Linked DNA regions of Macaca mulatta. The main gene of each other region encodes a partner of the protein of the gene in region 2 in a complex. Links are inferred from orthologs where the notes say so. Each region holds a gene or a part of one and is shown on either strand. Other genes may lie near its edges.

Region 1 (4,000 bases), on a different chromosome or scaffold from region 2:
CTCTACTAAAAATACAAAAAATTAGACGGGCGCGGTGGCGGGCGCCTGTAGTCCTAGCTACTCAGGAGGCTGAGGCAGGAGAATGGCGTGAACCCAGGAGGCGGAGCTTGCAGTGAGCAGAGATCGCGCCACTGCACTCCAGCCTGGGCAACAGCGTGAGACTCCGTCTCAAAAAAAAAAAAAAAAAAAAAGAAAGTTACTACCTACCCAGTCCCCTCACTGCACAGAAACTGAAGCCAGATGTGTCCACACCTTTCTCCTTCCCATGCTCTGATAGCTCGTCTCTGCTAAGCTCCCCATTGCCCGTGACCCCATGTGGCAGGTTTCCCGCCTGGGGTGCACTCAGAAAATGGTTTATGTAAATAATATTGAAAAGATTGGACCTTCTCCGCAAAGAATGGGGCCGTTGCTTTTTGAAAAACTTCCTGTTGATAGTATCTCCTATGACTACCCCAATCTCTGGCTGTGTGGTTTACAGATCCAGTTGCCTCTGCTCTTGCATCGTGAGAGTCAGCAGAGGCCCAAGAAACCCCGATACTAGTTTGCTGCTGTTGGTGGGTTTTTTGAGACAAGGTCTCAGTCGCCCAAGCTGGAGTGCAGTGGAGTGCAGCCTCAAACTCCTGGGCTCAAGCGATCCTCCTGCCTCAGCCGCCCCAGTAGCTGGGAGTACAGGTGCACGCCACCACGGTGGTTAATTTTTTAAAACATTTTGTAAAGATAGGGTCTCGCTGTGTTGCTCAGGCTGGTCTTGAACTCCTGGCCTCCAGCGATCTTCCCGCCACGGCCTCCCAAGGTGTTGGGGTTACAGGCGTGAGCCACGGGCTCGGTCCCCAGTTCTAGTTACGATTTTGTTGCAGGCGGTGAAAAGTCACGTGGCCTCCAAAGTCCTAGATTTCTGAGGGGCGTCAGCTTGGCAGCCTAATGTAAAGTGATCTCCGACTGGCTACCCACCCTCCGCTTTTTGCTCTTTTCATCCTGGGGGCTAACCGCTAAGACATAGCCTCCAGTTTCCCTCGGGAAGCCTCCGCGGAGGAAGGCACCGGCTAGGGCATCCGGGAAGACCCATCTGGGGAAAGTCTCCCTACGTGCAGTCTGCGGGCTGAAGGGGCCGGAGGAGCCTGCGTACTAGCGTCCCGCTGGCCCTGCTGCGCTGAGAGGAAGGGGCGGGGCGTCGCCAGGTCGTGCCCGCATCCGCCGGACGCCGGAAGTGGCTCTCCGCCCCTGCCACTGGGCCATGGAGACTGTGGCACAGTAGATTGTAGTGTGAGGCTCACGGGGGCAGTGGCCATGGAGGCCGTGCTGAACGAGCTGGTGTCTGTGGAGGACCTGCTGGTGAGGCCTGGCCCGGACAGAGGGAAAGGGAAGGTCGGAGGGCGGGTCCTGAGGAGAGTCAGGTATGGGCCGAACCCTCCTCCCGGCATCGGCTTGGCGGAGGGAAGCCGAACTACGGCTCCCGGCAGCCTCCACAGTGTCTGGCTCCTGCCCGGAGGGCCCGCTATGCCGCAGAGGCTCCTGGGAGTTGTAGTGTCCTGAGCCCCCACACCTCAGAGTACGGGCCTGTTGCCCGACAGTGGTTAGACTGACGGGTTCTGGGATTATGCAGGAGCTGTGAGCTCAGGGCGCTCCTCCAGCGGTGGAGGAATACAGTGACCATCAGAAGGCGTCACCTATTACTGCGTCCGGCGCGGTGCTAAGGCATCGCATGCCAGATCTCAGTCCTTGTAGCTCTAGGAGGTAGGCACTACTTCTATTCCTGGACAGTAAAAGGTCCAGGCCCGGCAGGGTGGGGCAGGATGGGGCCAGCAGGCTCAAATGAGGACCGCGTGGGCTGTTGTTGAGCAGTTCTGACAGTGTGTTTACTGTTTGGCCGCCGGGGTCAGCTGCTCCGGGAGCGGTGCCTGGAGCTGCCACCAGGTGGCATCTCCGCTCGGTACCGCCGGGGGGAGGGGAGACCAGGGGCATCTGTCCCAAGAGCTGGCCCACAGGCCAGGAGGAGCCGAAAGCCTGGGTCCCGTGCATGGAGATAGCAGACGCTGGGGTGCCAGATACCGAGACCCACGAGGGAAAGGAGGCAGAGCCAGGGATATGGGGTGTGACTGACACCATGTCCAGATAGAGAATGGTTGACGCCCTTCATTTCTAAATGATTCCTTTCTTCCCCTGTGGCAGAAATTTGAAAAGAAATTTCAGTCTGAGAAGGCAGCAGGCTCGGTGTCCAAGAGCACGCAGTTTGAGTACGCCTGGTGCCTGGTGCGGAGCAAGTACAATGATGACATCCGTAAAGGCATCGTGCTGCTCGAGGGTGAGGCGCTGTACTCTCCCCTTCCCGCTGCCATCTGGGCTGCTGTACGATGTGGGCCCCCGTAGTCCAGGCACCTCTCAGTTGTCTCCCGTAGATTTACTGCACCAAGGGCTATACTTAGCTTGACGTCTCCCAGTGAACTTTTGGCTACTTACCGCCCACCATTGTTTTGCCAGACGGAGTCGTAGCTTGTCATTTCCCCCAGGACTATCTTGATCTGGGAAAGTGACTTGAGGTCACGCAACTAATAAGTTCATGGCTGAATTGGGACTAGAAGCTCCCGTTTTGTGAGACCTAGGCCCATGCCCTTCCCCCCAACACCACCACCGTGTTGCTTAGTTAGCAGCTATTGAGAATCTTTTGTGGCATGGAAGAGGTCCAGAGGACTGTCCTACAAAATTGTGAGCACATAGTGCTTTTTGTTTTTTTTGTTTGAGACGGAGTCTTGCTCTGTCCTCCAGGCTGGAGTACAGTGGTGCTGTCTCAGCTCACTGCAGCCGCCCCCTCCCGGTTCAAGCAATTCTCCTGCCTCAACAACAGGCGCCCACTACCATGCCCGGCTAATTTTTGTATTTTTAGTAGGAACAGGGTTTCACCTTGTTGGTCAGGCTGGTCTCGAACTCCTGACCTCAGGTGATCTGCCCACCTCGGCCTCCCAAAGTGTTGGGATTACAGGTGTGAGACACCGCGTCCAGCCAGATAGTGCTTTTTGGATTGGACCCCTATTTCCCATTGGTTTTGTGTGGGTCATCATTTGTCAGAGACCACAATACTTAACCACTTAATTTCTCTGTACCTCCTTTCTTTTGTTCAAGTAATCATTTATAAGCACACAGTCAGTGTACAGCCATCCCTCTGTAGCCATGGGGGATTGGTTCTAGGAACCCTGCCCCACAAATACCAATAGCCATCCAAGTCCCTTATATAAAATGGTGTGGTATTTACATGTAACCTGTGCACCTTCTCCTACATACTTTCAATCATCTGTAGATTACTTATAATACCAAATACAATGTAAATGCTGTGTAAATAGTATACTGTATTGTTTAGGGAATAATGGCAAAAAAAAAAAAGATCTGTTCATGTTCAGTACATATGCAACTATCTTTTTTTTTTTCCCTGAGTATCTTTGATCCATGTTCGTTGAATCCATGAATACAGAATGCCAACTGTGCTAGCAAAGGATGCCTATTGAAAATCTATAAAAATGGCCAGGCGCAGTGACTCACACCTGTAATCCCAGCACTTTGGGAGGCCAAGGCAGGCCGATCACGAGGTCAGGAGTTCAAGACCAGCCTGATCAACATGGTGAAACCGTCTCTACTAAAAATACGAAAATTAGCTGGGCGCGCACCTGTAATCCCAGCTACTCAGGAGGCTGAGGCAGGAGAATCACTTGAACTCGGGAGACAGGTTGCAGTGAGCCAAGATCACGCCATTGCACTCCAGCCTGGGCAACAGAACGAGACTCCGTCTCAAAGGAAAAAAAAAATCTATAAAATATTCTTTCTTAAAAGATACAAATAATTTTACCCTATGTTTGTCTACTTTGGCAATTCAGATTTTCAGGTTTATTCTACAGCAGGGTGTAGCTGTAGAAGAAACAGCCTCTCTAAGTGATTATCAACAAATTCTAGTGCATAGAGTACAGTTATCCTCTGGGAAGTCTCTGAATTAAGAAAGTTAGGTGGGGCCAGG
Region 2 (4,312 bases):
CGGAAGAGGACAGCTTCTGAGCCCCACCTTTTCCCACCCGCTGCCAGCACCAGGTTGGCGGCTTCTCGCTCGGCTGCCTTGGCAAGAAGGCAGGCCCAGGCTGGAACCAGGTGTGGGGTGGGAGCAACCAGGAGGTGCTCCTGCCAGCGCTTCATGCTCTTTTTCTCAGTTCTCCCTTCTTTTTGTAAATAATTGCAGCCTGCTTAGACGCCTGGTGACTCTCATCTCGCAGCAGGCCACACTGCTGGCCTCTAATGAAGCCTTTAAAAAGCAGGCAGAGAGTGCTAGTGAGGCGGCCAAGAAGTACATGGAGGAGAATGACCAGCTCAAGAAGGTGAGCCCAGCTTCCTGACCCGCCATGGGGCGCCCTGGTGTTACACCGTGGGAGCCACGTTCTGTAGGGCCTCAGTGGCCACTGCTAGCCAGTCACGCTGGGAAATGTATGAAACTTCCACTGCCTGAAAAACCAGAGTTGGGTGGAGGCACAGAGGGGAAGTCCTCGATGGGGAGGGTATGCCCGCTGGAGGTGTCTGTGTACGAGGGTCCGGGTGAGGAGGAGGGTGTTGCTGCTCTCATTTCCATCCACTGCTTCCAGTCAGACCCTTCCCTGAGAAAAACGGCCCCTCAGTGAGCCAGGCCCTCTGTGTGAACTGAAGGCCCTCAGCTAGGCCCTTGTTCCCTGCAAGATTGCCGCACCCCCTCTGGAACATGGGGTCTGTGGCATCCCTCAGTGCTGGAGAGGAGGTGGGGGCAGAGTGGTTGGCAAGTCCTAGACATCCTGTCAGGAGGCGAGCTGCGAGCCAAGCTTGGAGGGATGTGGATGCAGAAGTGGGATAGAGCTGGCCAGGCAGACAGCGGGCTCCTTACGGCAGCAAACGGCACCACGTGGGGAGCAGAAGGCACCATCATCCGTGGAGGGGTTGGTGAGCACCATGGAGCTGGTGAGCCCTGCTGCTCAGGAAGGAGGCAGGGCCAGGGGCCAGGGCAGACAAGGCGTGCCTGGCGAGCTGCAGCAGGTGGCCCCGCTGGCGCTTCTCTTTCCCTCGGCTGGCAGCCACGCCCTGGCCTTTGCCTAGGAGCTGGGAGCAAGTGGTGGCTCGGTTCTGCGTTGACATTTCCGAAGGGGCGAGTCGCCAGGGCAGCTTGAGGAACCGCATCTCGGTGGGGAGGATGGGGCTGGAGCCTCTCCCTCCCTCCCTCCTGAGTAACCTTGGCCTTTGGCACTTTTCCCAGGGAGCTGCTGTTGACGGAGGCAAGTTGGATGTCGGGAATGCTGAGGTGAAGTTGGAGGCAGAGAACAGGAGCCTGAAGGCTGACCTGCAGAAGCTAAATGATGAGCTGGCCAGCACTAAGCAAAGTGAGGCTCGACCTTGTGTCCTTACCTGGAGGGAAGTCCAGAGGAGCCTCCTCTGCCTGCTGCTGCCCATTTTGTGCCAAACTATTAGTAACAAGCCTTGCATGCACGCTGGAGGGCTGGCTGAAAACAAACAAATAGCACCCTGTGCCTCCATCCCCAATGCAGTCATGCTTAGCCCTCAGGCCAGTGAGGCTAAGTGGTTTGAATGGGGCTCAGGAGGAACCAGGCTGCAGCTGGTGGGCCTCGATTGCCCCATGCTAGAGCAATGCACACTGGGGTTTTCCTGTCCACAGTGTGGCGTGGTAGCCCCAGCATGCCTGGGGGCTGAGAATGAGGGGAGTGTGTGAGTGGCGTTCAGGAGGGGAGTGGGCGGCTCCCGAGCGGCCTGCCTATCTTTGGTCTCCCATGCATAGACTAAGTCTGGGGCATTTTCCCCCAACATCACAGGCCTCGCCTGCTGCTGCTGTCTGCAAGACATGGTTGTCATTGGGTGTCGCTTTCAGGCTGGGATCTTGCTCCCTGTTTCCCACTCTCAGCCTCCCTGGAGGTTACCCCTGCAGAAAGCCACTAGAGTTCCCCTCCATGAAAGGGACTGGGGGACATCCTCTGTATTTCTTTTGCTTTATCTAGCTTTTTTGTCAGCCCTTTCCTTCTACTTTGGGGACCTGCAAAAGCAGAGGGGCTTTGAGAAGTAGTCTCCTGTATAGTCTCCTGTACAACCTCCTTTGAGATGGATTTGGGCCAGTTTCTTATGTCTGTAGCAGTTGTTTTTTTTCCCCCTAATTCTGGTCTTTTCATTTCTGTTTTCTTGGTCATTTACATCATTTCAAGAATTAGAGAAAGCTGAAAACCAGGTTCTGGCCATGCGGAAGCAGTCTGAGGGCCTCACCAAGGAGTACGACCGCCTGCTGGAGGAACACGCAAAGCTGCAGGTCAGTCCTCCCGTGTCACTGTGCCCAGGACAGAACAGCAGGATGAGGCAGCCCCACGGGTGGGGAGGGAACCTTCCAGGGGCCGAGGGGCCGGCTGCCCTATCCCCGACTCCCCCTGGCCACCTCTGCCCTGCTGAGTGGGACTCTTCACCGGACAGGAGAGGGTGGCCTGGCAGCAGATGTAGGCACTTGCCGAGGCGGCCCTCAGGAGTGGCACTGGCTCACTAGGCTCTGAGCCTTCCTACCTTTGTGCTCAGGTTCAGTCCATGGTTTGGGGCCCCGTCAAGAACAGAGAAGCAGGTGAAACTCTAGGACCCACTGGTGGCTTTCTTTCCTAGAGCACTGGGGGGGTGATGTTGGGCAAACATCCCTGGGCAAGTGAGGGCATAAGGTGTCAAAAAGGCACCTCCCCCAGCAGGCACTAGTTGTTGCCATCGCCTGCTGCCCTAGGCCTGATCCGAGTCCTCAGATTAGCTTGGGTGCACCGGGCTGCATCTGGAAGCCCAGGAGGTCTTGACGTTGGGAGTGAGGGCCACGTAAATACTCCCAACTTTGGACACCTGGCATCAGTGCTTGGTGGCCCAAGTTTGGGCACCACAGCAGATGGGGAGGAAGGGTCCAGCCTCAGAGGGGGCACCCATGCCCTCTGTATGGGGCAGGCTTGGCGAATGGGACTTGGGCTTCGAGGGCACCTGTCAAAGTTGTGCAGAGTTGGGAAGGGCCTGATCAGGTCTTCAAGGGGACTGGATGCCTTGCTGTTCCCTGCAGCCAGGACTCAGCCCCCAGTGAGGTACTGGCAGTCCTCCCTGGCTGGCGTTAGGTCCAGGGCTTTCCCTATCCTAGAGGGTGGGCCAGGGCTGACGCTCCCACCCTGGCAGGCCTTTGGGTACAGCTGAGGAGGGGGCCCCTTGCTTAATTGAATTCAGCTGTTGTTAGGAGATAGGAGAACTGAGCTGGACCTCTGGGGCATGGGGCTGGAGGTGGCAGGGGAGGAGTGGACCCAACCAACCTACTGCTGTGGGATTTCTGTCCCTTTCCAGGCTGCAGTAGATGGTCCCATGGACAAGAAGGAAGAGTAAGGGCCTCCTTCCTCCCCTGCCTGCAGCTGGCTTCCACCTGGCACGTGCCTGCTGCTTCCTGAGAGCCCAGCCTCTTCCTCCAGTACTTCTGTTTGTGCCCTTCTGCTTCCCCCATTCCCTTCCACAGCTCATAGCTCATCATCTCGGCCCGTCCACACTCTCCCAGCACATTACAGGGGACCTGATTGCAACACGTTCAGAATGCATTTGCTGTCATCCTGTTTGGCTTGGCCTGGCCAGGCCTGGCGCAGCCCTGGCTTCCACGCCTGAGCGTGGAGGGCACGAGTTAGTTGTAGTCTGGCTTGCGGTGGGGCTGACTTCCTGTTGGGTTGAGCCCTTTTAGTTTTGCCCTCTGGGTGTTTTCTTTGGTCCCGCAGGAGGGTGGGTGGAGCAGGTGGACTGGAGTTTCTCTTGAGGGCAATAAATGTTGTCATGGTGTGTACGTGGTGTGTTGTGTGACTGCGGCTGTGGGGAGGGCTCTGCTTCCTCTCCTGCCCGGAGCCCCCAAGCGGCCACAGCCCTTCAACCTGTTTCCCCCACTGAAGGCCAGGCTCACACCTGTTCTCAAAGGCCCTGCCCTGTCTGCCCTCCTGCTCCCTGGGCCGGGCCAGGCCTCGCTTCAGGGCCACCCGCCGAGTGTGTGTCCTGTCTGCCTCCCTGGGTGTGGGCAGCTTGGGAGGCTCAGTAAAGCGGCGGGGCTTCCGGGTAGAGGACTCGCTTGCCTTCTCTGGGTTCCTGTTCGTCACATTTGGGACAGACAGAACGTGGCAGAACGCCACTAGTCACTCCCTGCCCCACCCCCTCCTGAAGGTTTGCAGGATGACCTCTGACTAATGCCAGCTGGGAGAGGAGACTTGTCCTTGGCAGTGACCTGGAGCTGGCCCAGGGCAGAGCTAGGCAGAAAGGGGCTGGGAATGGGCTGGGGCCCCCGGCCCTGAGAACGT

The links.
Region 1: the proteins of BCAP31 (region 2) and FIS1 are in contact, whole or in part, in a crystal structure (PDB 8XWX), measured with the Homo sapiens proteins. The link is inferred for Macaca mulatta from reciprocal best matches to the Homo sapiens genes BCAP31 and FIS1. Residues at the interface, in NP_001132913.1 of Homo sapiens: Asp224, Leu227, Glu228, Ala231, Lys232, Ala235; in NP_057152.2 of Homo sapiens: Arg52, Val56, Glu59, Glu60, Pro63, Lys64, Lys89.

What each region holds. Positions count from the first base shown.
Region 1 is NC_133408.1:48,509,827-48,513,826, reverse strand, and holds the start of FIS1 (mitochondrial fission 1 protein), read left to right. Parts: upstream 1-1,193; 5' UTR 1,194-1,287; coding exon 1,288-1,332; intron 1,333-2,169; coding exon 2,170-2,302; coding exon of another isoform or gene 2,303-2,346; intron 2,347-4,000. UniProt on the Homo sapiens protein: Involved in the fragmentation of the mitochondrial network and its perinuclear clustering. Plays a minor role in the recruitment and association of the fission mediator dynamin-related protein 1 (DNM1L) to the mitochondrial surface and mitochondrial fission.
Region 2 is NC_133426.1:159,935,100-159,939,411, reverse strand, and holds the end of BCAP31 (B-cell receptor-associated protein 31), read left to right. Parts: intron 1-198; coding exon 199-334; intron 335-1,233; coding exon 1,234-1,357; intron 1,358-2,188; coding exon 2,189-2,289; intron 2,290-3,329; coding exon 3,330-3,368; 3' UTR 3,369-3,810; downstream 3,811-4,312. UniProt on the Homo sapiens protein: Functions as a chaperone protein. Is one of the most abundant endoplasmic reticulum (ER) proteins.